Linked DNA regions of Saccharomyces cerevisiae S288C. The protein of the gene in region 1 interacts with the protein of each later gene in a biochemical or structural test. Each region holds a gene or a part of one and is shown in the gene's direction. Other genes may lie near its edges. The genes, in order: NEM1, PAH1 and PKC1.

What was found.
Region 2: of the proteins of NEM1 (region 1) and PAH1, one has a biochemical effect on the other in vitro, tested with the Saccharomyces cerevisiae proteins (8 studies listed by BioGRID).
Region 3: of the proteins of NEM1 (region 1) and PKC1, one has a biochemical effect on the other in vitro, tested with the Saccharomyces cerevisiae proteins (2 studies listed by BioGRID).

Annotation. Positions count from the first base shown.
Region 1 is NC_001140.6:111,254-118,502, reverse strand, and holds NEM1 (Nem1-Spo7 phosphatase catalytic subunit NEM1), read left to right. Parts: upstream 1-5,408; coding exon 5,409-6,749; downstream 6,750-7,249. Other genes in the region: STP2 (Stp2p), read right to left, coding at 1-689; protein transporter TIM10, read left to right, coding at 2,602-2,883; GPA1 (guanine nucleotide-binding protein subunit alpha), read left to right, coding at 3,586-5,004; TCD1 (tRNA threonylcarbamoyladenosine dehydratase), read left to right, coding at 7,186-7,249. UniProt on the Saccharomyces cerevisiae protein: Catalytic component of the NEM1-SPO7 complex which acts as a phosphatase and dephosphorylates the phosphatidic acid phosphohydrolase PAH1. Essential for the formation of a spherical nucleus and meiotic division.
Region 2 is NC_001145.3:586,587-594,672, reverse strand, and holds PAH1 (phosphatidate phosphatase PAH1), read left to right. Parts: upstream 1-2,044; coding exon 2,045-4,633; downstream 4,634-8,086. Other genes in the region: MME1 (Mme1p), read left to right, coding at 200-1,306; MSS11 (Mss11p), read left to right, coding at 5,123-7,399. UniProt on the Saccharomyces cerevisiae protein: Mg(2+)-dependent phosphatidate (PA) phosphatase which catalyzes the dephosphorylation of PA to yield diacylglycerol. Required for de novo lipid synthesis and formation of lipid droplets.
Region 3 is NC_001134.8:11,933-20,953, reverse strand, and holds PKC1 (protein kinase C), read left to right. Parts: upstream 1-3,257; coding exon 3,258-6,713; downstream 6,714-9,021. Other genes in the region: SEA4 (Sea4p), read left to right, coding at 1-2,777; putative Rab GTPase-binding protein SRO77, read left to right, coding at 7,075-9,021. UniProt on the Saccharomyces cerevisiae protein: Required for cell growth and for the G2->M transition of the cell division cycle. Mediates a protein kinase cascade; it activates BCK1 which itself activates MKK1/MKK2.

The DNA of each region.
Region 1 (7,249 bases):
TTCCTTTTCGCATGCTTTTTTATGTGTCGTGTTAAGTAACCTCTGATTCGGAACCTAGCATCGCAATAGTGACATATATATGGTAAAGTTTCGGATGACTCATCAGCAATTCCTTGAACCTCATCGGATAGGGGAGATTCATCAATACTTTTCTTCGATGCAGGAGTGATTACGCTACTTACGGGCGTGATTGGAAGGAAATTAGAGGGGAAAAGAGCTTTGTACTGGTCATTATTGATATAGGATTCCTCTAGCGGGGGAGAACTTATCAAGTCATTCTGTAACTTTGCTGGCTCGCCGCGGCTAGGGCCCCGTAAAATCGGTTCGTCCAAGTTCAACTGTGTAGTGACTGCACCATTATTATCAATTTTAATTGAGAAAGGTGTTTCTAGGTTATCCAAATTTAAAGCACAGGGTACAACTGAAGATTTTGATGTTAGACTCAATTGTTTGTTGTTCTGTTTGGGAAATAATTCGCTCACGTCAACCAGATCGTCCTTTTCGGTAGCACAGCAGTCTTTCTGTGGATGGTTCTGTTTCGCAGGTTCTAACTTTTCGAAAGGAGTACTTTTCGAAGATTTGTCGTCTTCCACATTGGGCACAATCACTTGCTGCACTAATGCTTTAAGGTAGTCATATATCCTTGTTAACACGCTGTTCCGTGTTGAAGATAGTGATAAGATAGGCATGATAATGGATTTCCTTACTTCCCCAACTTTTTGCTCTCTTGCATTTGTCTGTTTGTCGGATGATTAATCACTGTTTTTCATTTATTAATCATCGTTTTTCTCGCTTTTTGCCCGTATTGGAATGTGAAGAGAAAAAAAAAATGATAAGAATTCTAAAAAAAGATACTCTTCGTTCGAATGGATGACTCTAAGAAGGGTAACAGACTTTCAATCTTCAAATAACATTATAATCTCTATTCTAGCCCTTAGAGGAGCATGTCATGCGTTCAGAACCTCCATTAATAGCTTACTTTATAACTTTCTATCAGTCACAAGTTAAACGTCGACAATTTTTGTGGGAAATGGTCTGTTTTTTTTCTTCAGTTAATAAATCTCGTTCTTGACTGCAGGTAATTAATGGTATCGTGATCGTTACCTATGCTTACACACTATAAGAATTTTCTTCGTGAGAATTGGCCCATTTCTCTGGTTCTTCTGAAGAGAGTTTTGCTGACCATCAATCAGCTTTACGAAAATTTACCGCCCAATTTCTTGCCAAAATGCCATCCATATTCCCATTCATTGGAATTCTTTCACTATTTTATCATTTCAATGTTCTTTGTAGCAACAGGCTCTTCTTTTTCACGCTTACTGTGATCATTTGTTATAAGTGCTGGTATTTTCTCTCTTCTGGAATTCCGTGCTATTGATATCACGACATGTGCGCTTCTCATGATTTTGCCGCCCAAGGCACATTTTGCCGTCTGTTTTTAACCTAATATTTATGTCGCGGGTATATTATCATATATTGCGTAAGAGGATGGTATTGCTGATGGGAAGTGGTCAACAAATTCAATAGGCACTGAAATGTAAGGGCTGACAATGTAATTGGATAAAGAAAGGCAACACATGAAAGGAAGAAAAAAAAAACGTTATTTATTATTATGTAAAACTATTGACCTCACCTTTGTGATTCACGCTGTCCTCGTGAAAAAACTTTTTTTGTTTTTGTAGACCTAATAAAAGAACCTTTTTTAACAATGTCCTAACAATAATTTCAACAGTTGCCAAACCTCAAATAGTGTTGGAATAAAAATCCACTATCGTCTATCAACTAATAGTTATATTATCAATATATTATCATATACGGTGTTAAGATGATGACATAAGTTATGAGAAGCTGTCATCGATGTTAGAGGAAGCTGAAGTGCAAGGATTGATAATGTAATAGGATAATGAAACATATAAAACGGAATGAGGAATAATCGTGATATTAGTAAATAGAAATATAGATTCCATTTTGAGGATTCCTATATCCTCGAGGAGAACTTCTAGTATATTCTGTATACCTAATATTATAGCCTTTATCAAAAATGGAATCCCAACAATTATCTCAACATTCACCCATTTCTCAAATAGTATGTTTTGGTGTTAAAGAAGAACATTGGAAACAAAGGAAAGGTAAGCATTAGCCCGGAAACAAAACAAGAGGAAGTAATATACACCTTTTTGGTTAACTTGTTCGTTCAGAAGAGCCCAAGTATGTAATTATTTTTTGCAAATCTTTCCTCAGTAACGATAACGACACGAAGGTAATATTTTAAAACATTTATCAACAAGTCACTAAATATAATCTGGGTCCTATCACTATTAGAGCTTCTATGGCCAAGTTGGTAAGGCGCCACACTAGTAATGTGGAGATCATCGGTTCAAATCCGATTGGAAGCATTTTTTGCATTGATTTCCCAATTCGTAGCTGATGATCACCCTCTGAAGCTATCGGACATTTTTTTTCTTTAATTTTTTCAGCGAGAGAGCTGGCAGTGAACGTACAAGAGCAAGCTCTCTAAAGAACTATTACTCTCCTCGTTCCCCTCTCATGTCTTTTAACAGATAAACAAGCAAAAGAAGGAACTATCATACTTAGAAAAACATGTCTTTCTTAGGTTTCGGTGGTGGTCAGCCTCAATTATCATCTCAACAAAAGATTCAAGCTGCGGAAGCTGAACTAGATTTGGTCACAGACATGTTCAATAAATTGGTTAATAACTGTTATAAAAAATGTATCAATACTTCTTATTCCGAGGGTGAGCTGAATAAGAATGAATCTTCGTGCCTAGACAGATGTGTGGCCAAATATTTTGAGACCAATGTTCAAGTCGGTGAAAACATGCAGAAAATGGGCCAATCATTTAACGCAGCCGGTAAGTTTTAGAAATGTGCATTAAAGCAGTAATGATAAGACGAAAATAAGAAAAGAAATCCATAAGCTGTTTTACTCGACTCAACGTTATAATTAGTATTATTGATTCATATCCTGTATATACAAGTAACATTATACTCTTTTCTGTACTTCATCTTTACCTTTTTATCTTACATGGCACATGTTGTTTGAAAACAAGATCATAGGTGGATAAAGCAAGCCGAATCTAAAAAAAAAAAAATGTCTCTATTGGAAAACTGAATGCATAACGATATTCCCTTTTCATGCAGATAACACTGACTAGTTTCAATTTGAAACGCATCTTCGTGTTATTTCACCGAAACGCACTCGGCTCAGCATGTTAAAAAGCACATCAATTTAGGGCTCTGCGCGTCCTTCTGCGTATTCTTCCTTGTAGAAATGCAATTAAATGGAGAGCAGAAATTTTTTTGTTACATATTGTTTTCCTTAAAGGGAAATATTAAAAAATAGTCTAAAATGAAGAGGATAGTAGAATTCCACCAATTTCTTTACGTTTTATATTATTCGTAATCTTTTGATCTGTTATTCATTTTTTCTTGTCACTCCGTTTCTAACATTTTTGACCATTTCTAAGACCAAACTGAGTAGAAGCTATTCATACTGTAAATTGGTATTTTAGCATCACATCAATAATCCAGAGGTGTATAAATTGATATATTAAGGTAGGAAATAATGGGGTGTACAGTGAGTACGCAAACAATAGGAGACGAAAGTGATCCTTTTCTACAGAACAAAAGAGCCAATGATGTCATCGAGCAATCGTTGCAGCTGGAGAAACAACGTGACAAGAATGAAATAAAACTGTTACTATTAGGTGCCGGTGAGTCAGGTAAATCAACGGTTTTAAAACAATTAAAATTATTACATCAAGGCGGTTTCTCCCATCAAGAAAGGTTACAGTATGCTCAAGTGATATGGGCAGATGCCATACAATCAATGAAAATTTTGATTATTCAGGCCAGAAAACTAGGTATTCAACTTGACTGTGATGATCCGATCAACAATAAAGATTTGTTTGCATGCAAGAGAATACTGCTAAAGGCTAAAGCTTTAGATTATATCAACGCCAGTGTTGCCGGTGGTTCTGATTTTCTAAATGATTATGTACTGAAGTACTCAGAAAGGTATGAAACTAGGAGGCGTGTTCAGAGTACCGGACGAGCAAAAGCTGCTTTCGATGAAGACGGAAATATTTCTAATGTCAAAAGTGACACTGACAGAGATGCTGAAACGGTGACGCAAAATGAGGATGCTGATAGAAACAACAGTAGTAGAATTAACCTACAGGATATTTGCAAGGACTTGAACCAAGAAGGCGATGACCAGATGTTTGTTAGAAAAACATCAAGGGAAATTCAAGGACAAAATAGACGAAATCTTATTCACGAAGACATTGCTAAGGCAATAAAGCAACTTTGGAATAACGACAAAGGTATAAAGCAGTGTTTTGCACGTTCTAATGAGTTTCAATTGGAGGGCTCAGCTGCATACTACTTTGATAACATTGAGAAATTTGCTAGTCCGAATTATGTCTGTACGGATGAAGACATTTTGAAGGGCCGTATAAAGACTACAGGCATTACAGAAACCGAATTTAACATCGGCTCGTCCAAATTCAAGGTTCTCGACGCTGGTGGGCAGCGTTCTGAACGTAAGAAGTGGATTCATTGTTTCGAAGGAATTACAGCAGTTTTATTTGTTTTAGCAATGAGTGAATACGACCAGATGTTGTTTGAGGATGAAAGAGTGAACAGAATGCATGAATCAATAATGCTATTTGACACGTTATTGAACTCTAAGTGGTTCAAAGATACACCGTTTATTTTGTTTTTAAATAAAATTGATTTGTTCGAGGAAAAGGTAAAAAGCATGCCCATAAGAAAGTACTTTCCTGATTACCAGGGACGTGTCGGCGATGCAGAAGCGGGTCTAAAATATTTTGAGAAGATATTTTTGAGCTTGAATAAGACAAACAAACCAATCTACGTGAAACGAACCTGCGCTACCGATACCCAAACTATGAAGTTCGTATTGAGTGCAGTCACCGATCTAATCATCCAGCAAAACCTTAAAAAAATTGGTATTATATGAAGGAACTGTATAATTAAAGTAGTGTTTAGATACGTAAATTCTGTTTCCGAAGATGCAAGAAGGAGCAGCAGCACCAGAAAAAATTACTATTTTTCTTCTCCATTAGAGTCTATGATGGAATGCCAAATGAAAAAGCCATTTTGTTCAACAGTTCTTGATCTCGTTAAATCGTTCCGGGTTTTCAATTGAAAAACAAGGGTAATAAAATCGCATGAGAAAAAAAAGGTCCAGACACTTTTTTAGAAGAAAAACTCTTGAAAACAATTGATTCTTCTACGTAAGGACAGGGTATTATCTCGAATTCTTCTCCCTGGTAAATACTCGGGATATATAGAACCTATTTTGCATCCTATTCTCACTTTTCTTTATTGTTGTTAATTTCTGGACATTGTTTCATTAATTGAATGAATGCCCTAAAATATTTCTCAAATCATTTAATAACTACAAAGAAACAAAAAAAAATCAATGTTGAGGTGACAAAGAATCAAGATCTACTAGGCCCTTCAAAGGAAGTTTCGAACAAATATACTAGCCACAGCGAAAATGATTGCGTTAGTGAGGTGGACCAACAGTACGACCACTCCTCAAGCCACTTAAAAGAATCTGATCAAAATCAAGAGCGCAAAAATTCTGTTCCTAAAAAACCAAAAGCTTTACGTTCCATCCTAATAGAGAAAATAGCGTCAATTTTGTGGGCACTACTACTTTTTCTTCCGTATTATCTGATAATCAAGCCCTTGATGTCTTTATGGTTTGTTTTTACCTTCCCACTAAGTGTCATCGAGCGTCGTGTAAAACACACCGATAAGAGAAACAGGGGTTCAAATGCTAGTGAGAATGAGCTGCCTGTCAGTTCAAGCAATATTAACGATTCTAGCGAGAAAACAAATCCTAAAAATTGCAATCTAAATACGATTCCCGAGGCAGTTGAGGATGACTTAAATGCCAGTGATGAGATAATTCTACAAAGGGATAATGTTAAAGGCTCATTACTTAGAGCTCAATCTGTCAAATCAAGGCCAAGAAGTTATTCCAAATCAGAACTATCACTTTCTAATCATTCAAGTTCTAATACCGTATTTGGTACAAAACGAATGGGAAGGTTCTTATTTCCAAAGAAGCTGATACCTAAATCCGTGCTTAACACACAAAAGAAAAAGAAACTGGTTATAGATCTCGATGAGACCTTAATTCACTCGGCTTCTCGAAGTACAACGCATAGTAATTCTTCTCAGGGTCACTTGGTGGAAGTGAAGTTTGGATTGAGCGGAATTCGTACACTATACTTTATTCACAAGAGGCCTTACTGTGATTTATTTTTGACAAAAGTTAGCAAATGGTACGACCTTATCATTTTTACAGCATCCATGAAAGAATACGCTGATCCTGTGATAGATTGGTTAGAAAGCTCCTTCCCATCCAGTTTTTCAAAAAGATATTACCGTTCTGATTGCGTTCTAAGGGATGGTGTTGGATACATTAAAGATTTGAGCATTGTCAAGGACTCCGAAGAAAACGGGAAAGGCAGCTCCTCTTCTTTGGATGATGTCATTATTATAGATAACAGCCCGGTAAGTTACGCAATGAATGTAGATAACGCTATTCAAGTAGAAGGATGGATAAGTGATCCAACTGATACGGACTTACTGAACCTGTTACCTTTCTTGGAGGCTATGAGGTATTCAACAGATGTCAGGAATATACTGGCATTGAAACATGGAGAGAAGGCATTCAACATAAACTGACAATTGTTATTGTGTCCTTCCAAAAAAGATGAGAATTTTAGGTGATAAATCGCCTATCCATTGCTGCTCATTTAATGGAAAGGTTATTGCATTCAGGGAAAAAAGTAACGGGAGAAAAAAGAGAAAAGACCTCTTTTTTGTTTTCTACATACGAGCATATTAATTATTTAGCAGGAAGATATACTTGATCTAAACAGTATATATATATATATATATATATATAGGTTGGGAATTAATCTTGAAATTTTTTTAGTCTTACGTTATCTTCAGCAGTGACACGCTAAATGCCCGTATCTTACTTTACATTTTGCTGTCAGGTTTTTTGATTTCTTTTTCATATTTTATGCAGTAGCGAAAAGAGACAAGACTATGAAAAAATTTTCTAGCGTTAGTAAAGTATTAATACTGCAATTAGTTAGGATAGCAGAACGAACAAATGGCAAATAATACGTGGAAGTTAATTGCTACTACAGCTCTTATATCGGTGTTTTCAACCCAAC
Region 2 (8,086 bases), on another chromosome or scaffold:
GCAATAGAAGGTATCACATTCCTATTTTTCTTGCGATTGAACTCTAACTTGACATCTCTAGGACCCTACAACGATAGCGACTTCTTACATTGTGTTCATTAATTTGAAAAAACATCAAAGCAAGCCGAAAACAAACGCTGAGTATTCTAACGAAGCACGCATAATAATCTTCACTTCCAACCGACTGGTATAAAAGATAATGAACTCATGGAACCTGAGTTCTTCAATACCGATAATACATACGCCTCATGACCATCCCCCGACATCAGAAGGAACTCCAGATCAACCAAATAATAACCGAAAAGATGATAAACTGCACAAAAAAAGAGGCGATTCAGATGAGGACTTAAGCCCTATATGGCATTGTGTCGTCTCCGGTGGGATTGGTGGAAAAATAGGAGATTCTGCGATGCATTCATTGGATACTGTTAAGACAAGACAACAGGGCGCACCCAATGTCAAAAAATACAGGAACATGATCTCTGCATATCGTACCATTTGGCTAGAAGAAGGCGTGAGAAGGGGGCTATACGGCGGTTACATGGCTGCCATGTTAGGCTCCTTCCCGTCAGCGGCAATCTTCTTTGGGACCTATGAATATACTAAGAGAACAATGATAGAAGATTGGCAGATTAACGATACCATCACACATTTGAGCGCTGGATTTCTTGGCGATTTTATCTCCAGTTTTGTTTATGTTCCATCAGAGGTCCTAAAGACAAGGCTACAATTGCAAGGAAGGTTCAATAATCCTTTCTTTCAATCTGGCTATAATTATTCGAATTTAAGAAATGCCATAAAGACAGTTATAAAAGAAGAAGGGTTTCGCTCACTATTTTTTGGATACAAAGCCACTTTAGCCAGAGATTTGCCATTTAGTGCATTGCAGTTTGCCTTCTACGAAAAGTTTAGGCAATTGGCTTTCAAGATTGAACAGAAAGATGGTAGGGATGGTGAGTTGTCTATACCTAATGAAATATTGACTGGTGCCTGTGCAGGTGGACTGGCGGGAATCATTACCACACCAATGGATGTTGTTAAGACTAGAGTCCAAACTCAACAGCCGCCCAGCCAAAGCAACAAATCATACTCAGTAACACATCCACATGTAACAAACGGCAGACCGGCAGCACTTTCCAACTCGATTTCGCTCAGCCTTCGGACGGTCTACCAATCTGAAGGTGTGTTAGGTTTCTTTAGTGGCGTTGGCCCTAGATTCGTCTGGACAAGTGTTCAGAGCAGTATAATGTTGCTTCTGTATCAAATGACCCTACGCGGATTAAGTAACGCATTTCCAACGGACTAAGAGCCTGATTTCTGGCTCATCTAACTCTCTAGAGGATAATTTTATGTGATAAAACTTTTCCTACAAGCGGCTACAATAAAGACAGTACAAGGGACCTCACCCTATTCGCCATCACTGCACATCACAGTGGGTCTTGTACTTATCATTTCACATACATAGATATAGGTTCTTCCGAATAAGTTTTGTATATAGTCATTTACGGCAAGAATACTCATCTAAGTTTAATACGCATTTCTCTCTTCGTTCGCAGTTCCTAACACTGAGCGTTCTTGTTTGGAGGGCTCGTTTAAAAAAAAGTCTAACAAATGTGACAGATTTGCTTGAACAGGGTCCAAACTCATCTTGTATATCATAACACTACATCACTGGGAGACAAAATCGAAGTGCCCACGTGCTGCTCATTCTCTAAACGGTCTGTCGCGGGCCCTTTTCGTCCTTCGGTTTCCCTCCCTTTAGACAATGGGCTCTCTTTTCTCTATTATCTATCTCTTTTTCTCGGCTTTTCCGGCCAGCGTTGAAAGCAGCGCACGGTGAGGGTAGAAGGAAGAGCAAGGACAAGTGAAGAGTAGGCCATCGTGGGGGCTTGTGTTTATAAAGAAAATACATTCAACAATTTAGTAAAACGTGTTCAAGAAGTGTTAATCAGACCAATTGGACACTACACCTTCGTAATCACAGTTTTACCTTCTAAGAAACATACAGGGAAGAAATTACTGAAGATAGACACATCGGTCGATTATGCAGTACGTAGGCAGAGCTCTTGGGTCTGTGTCTAAAACATGGTCTTCTATCAATCCGGCTACGCTATCAGGTGCTATAGATGTCATTGTAGTGGAGCATCCAGACGGAAGGCTATCATGTTCTCCCTTTCATGTGAGGTTCGGCAAATTTCAAATTCTAAAGCCATCTCAAAAGAAAGTCCAAGTGTTTATAAATGAGAAACTGAGTAATATGCCAATGAAACTGAGTGATTCTGGAGAAGCCTATTTCGTTTTCGAGATGGGTGACCAGGTCACTGATGTCCCTGACGAATTGCTTGTGTCGCCCGTGATGAGCGCCACATCAAGCCCCCCTCAATCACCTGAAACATCCATCTTAGAAGGAGGAACCGAGGGTGAAGGTGAAGGTGAAAATGAAAATAAGAAGAAGGAAAAGAAAGTGCTAGAGGAACCAGATTTTTTAGATATCAATGACACTGGAGATTCAGGCAGTAAAAATAGTGAAACTACAGGGTCGCTTTCTCCTACTGAATCCTCTACAACGACACCACCAGATTCAGTTGAAGAGAGGAAGCTTGTTGAGCAGCGTACAAAGAACTTTCAGCAAAAACTAAACAAAAAACTCACTGAAATCCATATACCCAGTAAACTTGATAACAATGGCGACTTACTACTAGACACTGAAGGTTACAAGCCAAACAAGAATATGATGCATGACACAGACATACAACTGAAGCAGTTGTTAAAGGACGAATTCGGTAATGATTCAGATATTTCCAGTTTTATCAAGGAGGACAAAAATGGCAACATCAAGATCGTAAATCCTTACGAGCACCTTACTGATTTATCTCCTCCAGGTACGCCTCCAACAATGGCCACAAGCGGATCAGTTTTAGGCTTAGATGCAATGGAATCAGGAAGTACTTTGAATTCGTTATCTTCTTCACCTTCTGGTTCCGATACTGAGGACGAAACATCATTTAGCAAAGAACAAAGCAGTAAAAGTGAAAAAACTAGCAAGAAAGGAACAGCAGGGAGCGGTGAGACCGAGAAAAGATACATACGAACGATAAGATTGACTAATGACCAGTTAAAGTGCCTAAATTTAACTTATGGTGAAAATGATCTGAAATTTTCCGTAGATCACGGAAAAGCTATTGTTACGTCAAAATTATTCGTTTGGAGGTGGGATGTTCCAATTGTTATCAGTGATATTGATGGCACCATCACAAAATCGGACGCTTTAGGCCATGTTCTGGCAATGATAGGAAAAGACTGGACGCACTTGGGTGTAGCCAAGTTATTTAGCGAGATCTCCAGGAATGGCTATAATATACTCTATCTAACTGCAAGAAGTGCTGGACAAGCTGATTCCACGAGGAGTTATTTGCGATCAATTGAACAGAATGGCAGCAAACTACCAAATGGGCCTGTGATTTTATCACCCGATAGAACGATGGCTGCGTTAAGGCGGGAAGTAATACTAAAAAAACCTGAAGTCTTTAAAATCGCGTGTCTAAACGACATAAGATCCTTGTATTTTGAAGACAGTGATAACGAAGTGGATACAGAGGAAAAATCAACACCATTTTTTGCCGGCTTTGGTAATAGGATTACTGATGCTTTATCTTACAGAACTGTGGGGATACCTAGTTCAAGAATTTTCACAATAAATACAGAGGGTGAGGTTCATATGGAATTATTGGAGTTAGCAGGTTACAGAAGCTCCTATATTCATATCAATGAGCTTGTCGATCATTTCTTTCCACCAGTCAGCCTTGATAGTGTCGATCTAAGAACTAATACTTCCATGGTTCCTGGCTCCCCCCCTAATAGAACGTTGGATAACTTTGACTCAGAAATTACTTCAGGTCGCAAAACGCTATTTAGAGGCAATCAGGAAGAGAAATTCACAGACGTAAATTTTTGGAGAGACCCGTTAGTCGACATCGACAACTTATCGGATATTAGCAATGATGATTCTGATAACATCGATGAAGATACTGACGTATCACAACAAAGCAACATTAGTAGAAATAGGGCAAATTCAGTCAAAACCGCCAAGGTCACTAAAGCCCCGCAAAGAAATGTGAGCGGCAGCACAAATAACAACGAAGTTTTAGCCGCTTCGTCTGATGTAGAAAATGCGTCTGACCTGGTGAGTTCCCATAGTAGCTCAGGATCCACGCCCAATAAATCTACAATGTCCAAAGGGGACATTGGAAAACAAATATATTTGGAGCTAGGTTCTCCACTTGCATCGCCAAAACTAAGATATTTAGACGATATGGATGATGAAGACTCCAATTACAATAGAACTAAATCAAGGAGAGCATCTTCTGCAGCCGCGACTAGTATCGATAAAGAGTTCAAAAAGCTCTCTGTGTCAAAGGCCGGCGCTCCAACAAGAATTGTTTCAAAGATCAACGTTTCAAATGACGTACATTCACTTGGGAATTCAGATACCGAATCACGAAGGGAGCAAAGTGTTAATGAAACAGGGCGCAATCAGCTACCCCACAACTCAATGGACGATAAAGATTTGGATTCAAGAGTAAGCGATGAATTCGATGACGATGAATTCGACGAAGATGAATTCGAAGATTAAAGATTCTTGTAGCCGAATATTATTTATAACGATCCATACTGCATATTAAGTAAAATTATGAAGTACTAAGTAACAATTTTTCAATTTTATTTAAGAAAAGAGAAGGAAAAAAAAAAGAAGAAAATTTTTTGATAGAAGAAAAAGGTAAACGATGATTGTTACGTACCAAGTGTTCTTCTGAGCTATTTGGTAATTACATACTTCTTCGAAATGTCAAGGTAAATACTTTTCTATACGCACACGAAACTCGCTTGCTGCAACAGGTATTACGTCAGGTGAAAAAAGCGGCCAAGAGGCAATGCCGAAATACAATGCGTGTATAACAGGAAGAGGAGGGGTATAATAAAATCACCATAGTAGAAAAGACCAGAAAGATTTCTATTGCAATCCTGTGTGACTCTTTTGGTTTTTCCCTTTGGTATCTCCCGGTTCTTTTGTCAATTTTTCGTTAAACTGCAGTGAAATAAGAAAAAGGTGCATGATAAAGATATGGATAACACGACCAATATTAATACAAATGAGCGCTCTAGTAACACGGATTTTAGCTCAGCTCCCAATATCAAAGGTTTGAATAGCCATACTCAGTTGCAGTTTGATGCGGATTCTCGAGTTTTCGTTTCGGATGTAATGGCTAAGAACTCTAAGCAATTATTGTACGCCCATATTTATAACTATTTAATCAAAAACAATTACTGGAACTCTGCCGCAAAATTTTTAAGCGAAGCTGACCTTCCTTTATCTAGAATAAACGGATCTGCTTCGGGTGGGAAAACTAGCTTGAACGCCAGCCTGAAGCAGGGATTAATGGATATTGCATCTAAGGGTGACATTGTTAGTGAAGATGGGCTATTACCTTCGAAAATGCTGATGGACGCTAATGACACGTTTTTACTGGAATGGTGGGAAATTTTTCAATCATTGTTCAATGGAGACCTAGAATCTGGGTACCAACAGGATCATAATCCTTTAAGAGAGAGAATAATACCAATTTTGCCAGCTAATTCTAAATCTAATATGCCTTCCCATTTCTCTAATCTCCCACCAAATGTGATTCCACCAACTCAAAATAGTTTTCCAGTTTCAGAGGAGAGTTTTAGGCCCAATGGTGACGGAAGTAACTTTAATTTAAACGATCCAACCAATCGAAACGTCTCCGAAAGATTTCTATCGAGAACTTCCGGTGTCTACGACAAACAGAATAGCGCTAATTTTGCACCTGATACTGCTATAAACAGTGATATTGCTGGGCAGCAGTACGCAACTATAAATCTACATAAACACTTCAATGATTTGCAATCACCAGCACAGCCCCAGCAATCATCTCAACAGCAGATCCAGCAGCCTCAGCATCAACCCCAGCATCAACCGCAACAGCAACAGCAACAGCAACAACAACAACAACAACAGCAACAGCAACAGCAACAGCAACAGCAGCAACAGCAACAGCAACAGCAACAACATCAACAGCAGCAACAGACACCGTATCCTATTGTCAACCCACAAATGGTCCCTCATATTCCATCGGAAAATTCTCATTCAACCGGACTTATGCCTTCAGTGCCTCCTACAAATCAACAATTTAATGCACAAACCCAATCTTCAATGTTTTCAGACCAGCAGCGCTTCTTTCAATATCAATTACACCACCAAAATCAAGGACAGGCGCCATCTTTTCAGCAAAGCCAATCTGGCAGGTTTGATGACATGAACGCTATGAAAATGTTTTTTCAGCAGCAAGCACTACAGCAAAATTCACTACAGCAAAATCTTGGAAATCAAAATTATCAATCTAATACACGTAACAATACTGCGGAAGAAACTACGCCCACAAATGACAATAACGCAAATGGCAATAGTTTATTGCAAGAACACATACGAGCCCGCTTCAATAAGATGAAAACAATTCCTCAACAAATGAAAAATCAAAGCACTGTCGCAAATCCGGTTGTTAGTGATATAACATCTCAACAGCAGTACATGCATATGATGATGCAAAGAATGGCGGCTAACCAGCAATTACAAAATAGTGCCTTTCCTCCAGACACTAATCGTATAGCGCCAGCTAACAACACTATGCCATTACAACCAGGAAATATGGGGTCTCCTGTCATTGAAAATCCAGGTATGAGGCAGACTAATCCATCCGGACAAAACCCTATGATCAATATGCAGCCCTTATATCAAAATGTTTCTTCCGCAATGCATGCGTTCGCTCCGCAACAACAATTTCATCTACCACAACATTATAAAACCAATACTTCAGTACCACAAAATGATTCTACCTCCGTCTTTCCTTTGCCTAACAATAACAATAACAATAACAACAACAACAATAATAATAATAATAATAATAGTAATAATAGTAATAATAATAATAATAATAATAATAATAATAATAATAGTAATAATACACCCACAGTATCACAACCATCATCAAAATGTACTTCTAGCTCCAGCACAACTCCTAATATAACTACAACAATTCAACCCAAGCGGAAACAGAGAGTGGGTAAAACAAAGACCAAGGAATCAAGAAAAGTTGCTGCAGCTCAGAAAGTTATGAAATCTAAGAAACTGGAACAAAATGGTGATTCAGCTGCTACAAACTTCATCAATGTCACTCCAAAGGACAGTGGCGGTAAGGGTACCGTAAAAGTTCAAAACAGTAACTCGCAGCAACAACTAAATGGCTCTTTTTCTATGGATACAGAAACATTCGACATATTTAACATTGGTGACTTTTCTCCTGATCTAATGGATAGCTAAAACCTATTAAACAACAAAAAGTGTTTCATCGTCATTCTTCCAATACTAACCGTTGCATCTTTTCTTTCATATGAGTAGTATGTTTCTAATTTGAATCTTTAAGAAAATTGTTTGTCTGTATTTGTCGGAACGATTTTTGGGATCATCGTTCAGTGCAGGTGTATCGTTTCTCAAATGAAGTGTGAAACTTACTTCTCACTTAGGTTTTCAAAATAATGGCATATAAAGATGGTCTAACATCTATACATATTTTTGACCAAGCAGGAGTCAATCGTTAGAGTAAGTGAGTATATCAGTTTAGTTATTTTAAATTAGACAATGTAATGGAGGGGTGCCAGTGACACTATATAAAATAAAAAAAAAATTTGCATCTGGTGCGCAATAGCGTTCTTGTAACCAAATTTCTATTCCGGTCGAATTTAAACTAGCAAGAAAATAGGTAAGCAAGCTATCTGGCCAGCTAAAAAGACGGTGCCTCAAAGTTTTCGGAATTTTTATATTTAATTCCTAACATATTTAGAGAAATGTAGCATACTCTTTATACAGAATTCTCCAACTTACTATGGTTTCGTGGTCTAGTCGGTTATGGCATCTGCTTAACACGCAGAACGTCCCCAGTTCGATCCTGGGCGAAATCATTTTTTTGAAGACATCCCGCATGAAAACATCAAAACGTAAATAAAAACA
Region 3 (9,021 bases), on another chromosome or scaffold:
CAGCTCAGGCGGAAAATATAGTTGGATCTGTCTCAAATTTAAAGGATACCCAAGGGTACCCTGTTTCAGAAACCAATTATGATATACGTGTACGAGCAAAGAAGCAGCGGTGTATAAACTCTCTGGGAATAAATACGAATGGTCTTATAGCAATGGGTCTTGACAGAAATAAGCATGATTCATCTTTACAAATTTGGGACATGAATTATCATGATGATTCGCATGAAACTATCAACCCAATGTTTAGTTATTGCACAAATGAAAGCATAGTATCCCTAAAGTTCCTCAACGATACCAGTGTATTGGCTGCAAGTACGAAATTTTTGAAAGAAATTGACGTCAGATCCCCCAACCCAATTTATCAACATCCGACACGATTGACGTATGATATCAAACTGAACCCGTTTAACGATTGGCAATTTAGTACTTATGGGGATGATGGGACCTTAGCTATTTGGGATAGGAGAAAATTATCTGACCAAGCTTCACTTGGTGATTTAAATGTAGCTTCCCCTTTATTAACTTTTGAAAAATTGGTTGGATCCGGTGCAGCGTCAAGGAAATACATGAACTCTTGCTTTAGGTGGTCATGTGTGAGGAACAATGAATTTGCCACCTTACATAGAGGTGATACCATCAAAAGATGGAGGTTAGGCTATTACTGCGATAGCAATCGTGATATTGCGGCAGATGACGATAACGAGATGAATATTGAGAATTTGTTTGTTTCTTCCGTGCATGACACAAATACGATGTACGATAGAGTTGCTACATTTGATTATATTCCAAGAAGTAATAATGGAACAAGTCTAATCTGTATGAGACAATCGGGAACAATATACAGAATGCCAATTTCAGAGGTATGCTCCAAGGCTATACTCAATAATAGGAACTCTCTCTTATTGTCAAATTTTGAAAATACTGAGATAGATGAAATTAGAGTCAACAATGAGCATGAAAAGTCCAACTTAGAGAATGTAAAAACAATCCTAAAGAATCTATCGTTTGAGGATTTAGATGTTAGCGAAGATTACTTTCCGTCTGGACATGATGAACCTAATAATGAAATTGAGTACTCCGAGTTGAGTGAAGAGGAAAATGAAGGGAGTAATGATGTCCTTGACAGTAAGCGTGGATTTGAACTGTTCTGGAAGCCAGAAAAACTTCTGGAAAAAGATATAAGTGTAATAATGAGGACGCGAGCTTCATTGGGATATGGTTTGGATCCAATGAACACGGTAGAGATGATTGATTCTTCTAAAAATCTACAAAACAATGCTTATATAAGGAACACATGGAGGTGGATCGCGATTGCAAAGGCTTCTGTTGACGATGGTACGATGGTTTCTGGTGATCTTGACTTAGGTTACGAAGGTGTGATAGGTATTTGGAATGGTATAAACGGAATATCGAACCAAGACAGATATAGACAAGAGACAATTCTTTCTGATAAACAACTAAATAAAGAAATGGAAAAAATCATCAAACTAAGAAGGAAAAATAGGGATCGGAACAGTCCTATTGCCAATGCCGCTGGTTCACCAAAGTACGTTCAGAGAAGACTCTGTTTAATTATCTCAGGATGGGACCTTTCCAGATCTGATTATGAAGACAAGTACAACATAATTATGAAAAACGGCCATTATGAAAAAGCTGCCGCTTGGGCGGTATTTTTTGGTGATATCCCAAAGGCTGTAGAAATATTGGGATCTGCAAAAAAGGAAAGATTGAGACTAATTGCCACCGCTATTGCAGGTTACTTGGCGTATAAGGATCTGCCAGGTAACAATGCATGGAGGCAGCAATGCAGAAAAATGTCCTCCGAATTAGATGATCCTTACTTGAGAGTTATTTTCGCCTTTATCGCAGACAATGATTGGTGGGATATTCTTTATGAACCTGCCATATCTTTGAGAGAACGATTAGGGGTAGCTCTAAGGTTTTTGAATGATACAGACCTAACCACTTTCTTAGATAGAACTTCATCTACAGTTATTGAAAACGGCGAATTAGAAGGTTTAATTCTCACCGGAATAACACCTAATGGTATCGATCTACTGCAATCATACGTTAATAAAACCAGCGATGTTCAGAGTGCCGCACTGATATCAATTTTCGGCTCCCCTAGATATTTCCGCGACCAACGAGTAGATGAATGGATACAAACTTATAGAGATATGCTTAAATCGTGGGAATTATTCTCCATGCGAGCCAGGTTCGATGTTTTAAGATCAAAATTATCGAGAACTAAAACTGGTGTATTAACTGCAGACATAAAGCCCCGGCAAATATATATCCAATGTCAAAACTGTAAACAAAACATCAACACTCCGCGCACATCCTCACCTTCTAGCGCCGTCTCTACTAGTGCTGGAAATTACAAAAATGGTGAAGCCTATAGAAGAAATAACGCTGACTACAAGAAATTTAATACTGGAAGTTCTGAAGCACAAGCAGCTGATGAAAAGCCAAGACATAAGTATTGTTGCCCACACTGTGGGTCTTCATTTCCAAGATGTGCCATATGTCTCATGCCTCTAGGAACGTCAAACTTACCTTTTGTAATAAATGGGACGCAATCACGCGATCCAATGCAGACAGAAGACTCTCAAGATGGTGCAAATCGCGAACTCGTAAGTAGAAAACTGAAGTTGAACGAGTGGTTCAGCTTCTGTTTGAGTTGCAACCATGGTATGCATGCCGGTCACGCTGAAGAATGGTTTGACAGACATAATGTTTGTCCCACTCCAGGTTGCACCTGCCAGTGTAATAAGTAGTATTGTACAATAAACCAAATCTTGCAACTTCTCTTTATTCTCACAATATATATACATAACCAAAGAAAAAACGTAATTAGTATAACATTGTATTTATGAGGCATTGCTATCTTCATTACCCAGCCCGCCTAGTTTTAAAGGCGAAAAAAACCGACGAAAAGAGTTAACAAGCGTGGATAATAAAGTTGATCTACTCTATCGAAAGTAATACGACAGGTTCAGGAGCAGTAAAAGAGCTACGATTTCACTGCTATTCAATTTGGCTGAGTAGAGACTGATTATTAACCATTGTAAAAGTCTCTGCCACCACTCGTCCACACTTACGTTAGAGGTATTCAGCGTCGATCCCCTTTCAGTATAGATTTTTAAAACTATATTAGATAATCAATAGGAATAAAACCTAGAACAGTAGCTGCGGAGAGAAGCTCTAGCGAGGAAAAGTAAGTATAGTATCACACATATAGGGAGCAGTTTACAGTCATGAGTTTTTCACAATTGGAGCAGAACATTAAAAAAAAGATAGCCGTCGAAGAAAATATTATTCGGGGAGCTTCTGCCCTCAAGAAAAAGACTAGCAATGTTATGGTCATTCAGAAATGTAATACGAATATTAGAGAGGCACGTCAAAATCTTGAGTACTTGGAGGATAGCTTAAAAAAATTACGGTTGAAGACCGCTCAACAAAGTCAGGGTGAAAATGGCAGCGAAGATAATGAGCGATGCAATTCGAAGGAATACGGGTTTCTTTCTACCAAATCGCCAAATGAACACATATTTTCTCGTTTGGATTTAGTAAAATATGATTGCCCTTCTTTGGCGCAAAGAATCCAATACATGTTGCAACAATTAGAATTCAAATTACAGGTGGAAAAGCAATACCAAGAAGCCAATACTAAATTGACTAAATTGTATCAAATTGACGGTGATCAACGTAGTAGTTCTGCGGCAGAAGGGGGTGCTATGGAATCCAAATACAGGATTCAAATGCTTAACAAAGCTTTGAAGAAATACCAAGCTATTAACGTTGACTTTGATCAATTTAAACACCAACCCAATGACATAATGGATAATCAACAACCGAAATTCCGAAGAAAACAACTGACTGGCGTTCTAACAATTGGAATAACTGCTGCTAGAGATGTTGACCATATACAATCACCGATGTTTGCCAGGAAGCCAGAGAGCTACGTTACTATAAAAATCGATGATACGATCAAAGCCAGAACGAAGCCTTCTAGAAATGACAGGTGGAGTGAAGATTTTCAAATTCCAGTTGAAAAAGGGAATGAAATCGAGATTACTGTATATGATAAGGTGAACGACTCGCTCATTCCAGTGGCTATAATGTGGTTACTGCTTTCCGATATCGCTGAAGAAATTCGTAAGAAGAAAGCCGGACAAACAAATGAACAACAAGGATGGGTCAACGCTTCAAACATTAATGGTGGTTCTTCTCTCGCTAGCGAAGAGGGAAGCACATTGACTTCTACATACTCAAACTCAGCCATTCAGTCTACTTCAGCAAAGAATGTGCAAGGCGAAAATACATCAACTAGTCAAATCAGTACGAATTCATGGTTTGTCTTAGAACCATCCGGGCAGATTTTGTTAACACTAGGATTCCACAAGTCTTCTCAAATAGAAAGGAAGCAGTTGATGGGTGGACTACATCGTCATGGTGCTATTATCAATAGGAAAGAAGAGATATTCGAACAGCATGGCCACCACTTTGTACAAAAATCATTTTACAACATTATGTGCTGTGCATATTGTGGTGATTTCCTTCGGTATACTGGGTTCCAATGTCAAGATTGTAAATTTTTATGTCACAAAAAATGTTACACCAATGTTGTTACTAAGTGTATTGCTAAAACTTCTACTGATACGGATCCGGACGAGGCAAAGTTGAACCACCGTATTCCTCATAGATTCCTGCCTACTTCAAACCGTGGTACTAAATGGTGCTGTCACTGTGGTTATATTTTACCATGGGGTAGACATAAAGTACGCAAATGTTCTGAATGTGGTATAATGTGTCATGCTCAATGTGCTCATTTGGTTCCCGATTTCTGTGGCATGTCGATGGAAATGGCTAATAAAATTCTGAAAACGATTCAAGACACAAAACGTAATCAAGAGAAAAAGAAGAGGACAGTTCCGTCGGCACAGTTGGGGTCATCTATTGGTACTGCCAATGGTAGTGATCTTTCCCCATCCAAATTAGCTGAAAGGGCAAACGCTCCTTTGCCTCCTCAGCCAAGAAAACATGATAAAACTCCTTCGCCTCAGAAGGTAGGAAGAGATTCTCCAACTAAGCAGCATGATCCTATTATTGATAAAAGAATTTCACTACAAACGCACGGGCGTGAGAAACTAAATAAATTTATCGATGAAAATGAGGCCTATTTAAATTTTACAGAAGGTGCACAACAAACCGCCGAATTTTCATCACCAGAGAAAACACTGGATCCAACGTCGAATAGACGTTCCTTGGGACTCACTGATTTATCTATTGAGCATAGTCAAACTTGGGAATCTAAAGATGATTTAATGAGAGATGAACTTGAACTGTGGAAAGCACAACGTGAGGAAATGGAACTTGAAATAAAACAAGATAGTGGGGAAATCCAAGAGGATCTAGAAGTTGATCACATTGATTTAGAGACCAAACAGAAACTAGACTGGGAGAACAAAAATGATTTCCGTGAAGCTGATTTGACAATAGATTCCACACACACAAATCCATTCCGCGATATGAATAGTGAAACCTTTCAAATTGAACAAGACCATGCTTCAAAGGAAGTACTACAAGAAACAGTGTCCTTGGCTCCTACAAGTACTCATGCCTCCAGAACCACTGATCAACAATCTCCGCAGAAATCACAAACCAGCACAAGCGCAAAGCATAAAAAGAGAGCGGCTAAACGTCGTAAGGTTTCATTAGATAATTTCGTATTACTCAAAGTTCTTGGTAAAGGTAATTTTGGTAAAGTTATTTTATCTAAATCAAAGAATACTGACAGGCTTTGTGCCATAAAAGTTCTGAAGAAAGATAATATTATTCAAAATCATGACATCGAGAGTGCAAGAGCAGAAAAGAAAGTATTTTTGTTAGCCACAAAAACTAAACACCCATTCTTAACCAATCTATACTGCTCTTTTCAAACTGAAAACCGTATATATTTTGCTATGGAGTTTATTGGGGGCGGTGACTTAATGTGGCATGTTCAAAACCAAAGACTATCTGTAAGAAGGGCCAAATTTTATGCCGCCGAGGTCTTACTGGCTCTGAAATATTTTCATGATAATGGTGTAATATACCGTGATTTGAAGTTGGAAAACATTCTATTAACTCCAGAAGGTCATATAAAAATTGCCGATTATGGTTTGTGTAAAGATGAAATGTGGTATGGTAATAGAACTTCTACATTTTGTGGCACACCAGAATTTATGGCTCCAGAAATTTTAAAAGAGCAAGAATATACCAAAGCTGTCGATTGGTGGGCATTTGGGGTGCTGCTATATCAAATGCTACTGTGCCAATCTCCATTCTCAGGAGATGACGAAGATGAAGTTTTTAACGCTATCCTTACCGATGAACCCTTATACCCAATAGATATGGCAGGTGAGATTGTACAAATATTCCAAGGCCTATTAACAAAAGATCCTGAAAAGAGGTTGGGTGCTGGTCCCAGGGACGCAGACGAAGTTATGGAAGAACCTTTCTTCCGTAACATCAACTTTGACGATATCTTAAACCTTCGCGTGAAACCACCCTACATCCCAGAAATTAAATCTCCGGAAGATACATCATATTTCGAGCAAGAATTCACCTCTGCGCCACCCACACTTACACCTCTGCCCTCTGTTTTGACAACGAGCCAGCAAGAAGAGTTTAGAGGATTTTCCTTTATGCCAGATGATTTGGATTTATGAAGAAAAGGTCATGCCATGATTTATTTAATTTTATATAAAACATCTAAGCGGAAAAGTTGAACTGTTCCGCTTCATAGGAGGAGAGGGTTTTTTTAATGAGATTTTGTTACATAAACTGAAACTATCCATTTTGATGCAATGCCTCTTTTTTGTTCGTACCTATCTTGGAGCATGCATATGAAAAACCTCGTTTAAGCGATGCGATGCGAAGCCGTATGTTCAACAATGCGCATTCTGTTTACATTATTAAGGAAGCATTTAAGAAACAGCTCAGTATTATATTACTACTAACATATTTCTAAAGTTGACAGATTATAAAAGTTACAAAATTGTCAATTGAACAGATACAAAAATTTTATAAATGTTTAAGAAAAGCAGGCATTTGAAGAATGTGTCAAATGCTATCAAATCCGCGAGAGTTCATGACGTCTCAAATGGTATTAACTCCAAATTTTTCGATACTAAGAAAATATGCACATACGGCATAAATGGACGAATCACTGTTACCACATTCGACTATACTCAAAGCCTTTTGGCAGTTGCAACTACTGCTGGGGAGATACATGTTTATGGGCAAAAGCAAATAGAGGTCGTATTTACGTTAAAAAATCGACCTCAAATTAAACACATGCGGTTTATTAAAGGAATTTATCTGATAGCTGTAGATGAGAAGAGCAACATAATAGTTCTTTCAGTACACTCGAAACAGATTCTAACTACTGTTTTCTGTCCAAACAGCATCACTTGTATTGAGACTGATCCGTCCTTGGATTGGATGCTGATTGGCCTCGAGAGTGGATCCATATTGATCTATGATGTGGATAGAAATCAAATGTCCAAATTGAAAATTGAAAACTTCCAGAAAAGTGTGTTTTTGCCAAAAGAGAGGCTATCACCGGTTATTTCTATCCAATGGAATCCTAGAGACATAGGAACGATACTTATATCATATGAGCATATTACAGTCATATATTCTTTCATTGACTACAAAGTCAAGCAACATTTTTTTTACCAATTAGAACCGTATGCTCCGGGCGGTGATCTATCCACAAACATAGAAAAGAAACGCACTCCAAAGGTCATTCAGTCACTTTATCACCCAAATTCCTTACATATATTAACTGTCCATGAAGATAATTCCTTGGTATTTTGGGATGTCAATAGCGGTAAACTGATTCACGCTAGAAGTATATTTGAAACACATGTGAATTTTCCAAATCCTGCCTTGAAAGACTGTTCCTTTACAGAAACACCCGCTATCTTTAAAGTAAGCTGGCTTTGCCAGCGTAATCCTGAGTATACATCGTTGTTGATTGCAACAAAAGCTACAGAAAATCCCTGTTTACCTCAGGAAATAACCATGATTGACTTAGGCGGCACACCAATGTATTCTGTGACATCATTTGACGCAATGAGCAAGTACTATGCTAAACCGGTTCAACAAAAACTATTTTCGTTGATTGGCAAAGCTCCACTAATAAATTTTCTACCCTTGCCGAAGGCTTCTCCATATTTTGGTGGATGCCATGACACAAACCTCATTTTATTACTTTTAGAAGATGGCGAACTTGAAACATTGATATACCCAGCAGGCTCTTTTAGTTCCAAGGCCTCCATTTTCCCTCGGAGCTTAGCATGGGTTCGACCAACGGTTACTACTTGTATAGCGCAATCAGTTCAAAAAAATCTTTGGCTGGGGATGATGACAATCGCTCAAAGTGAATCGTTTTTAAAAGGTGGTATTCCTGCCACCAGAAATATTAGAAGGCATGAGACCAGATCTGCTTTACTAACTGGGCATAGTAATGGTTCAGTCAGAATATGGGATGCTTCACACAGTGAAGTAACTGACAACGCTGTATTTGAAGTGAATACTGCTAAAGTACTTAACAGAGCTACTAACCTGGCCATAAAAAATATCTCCTTTGCATCGGAAACATTGGAATTGGCGGTATCATCTGAGGTTGGGGATGTTATTCTTTTCAAATTCGAAACAAACAAGTTTTACGGACAACTTCCCAAAAGCGATGCACTGCAATTGAAGTTTAGCAGATTTTCATTGGATGATTCAAAAACTATTTTAGTTGATGTTTCGGATAGAGGGCCTACGAACGTTAAACAAGGCTTTATACCAAGTACGGTAATACATGCTAAAAAAGGTGCGGTGTCCGCAATCATGAATAGTAATATCGGGTTCGTTGCCGTTGGTTTCATTGAAGGAACCTTAATAATATTGGACAGAAGAGGCCCGGCTATAATCTTCAATGAAAATATTAGGGTCATTTCTAAAGCTGGTAGCTCTTACGTT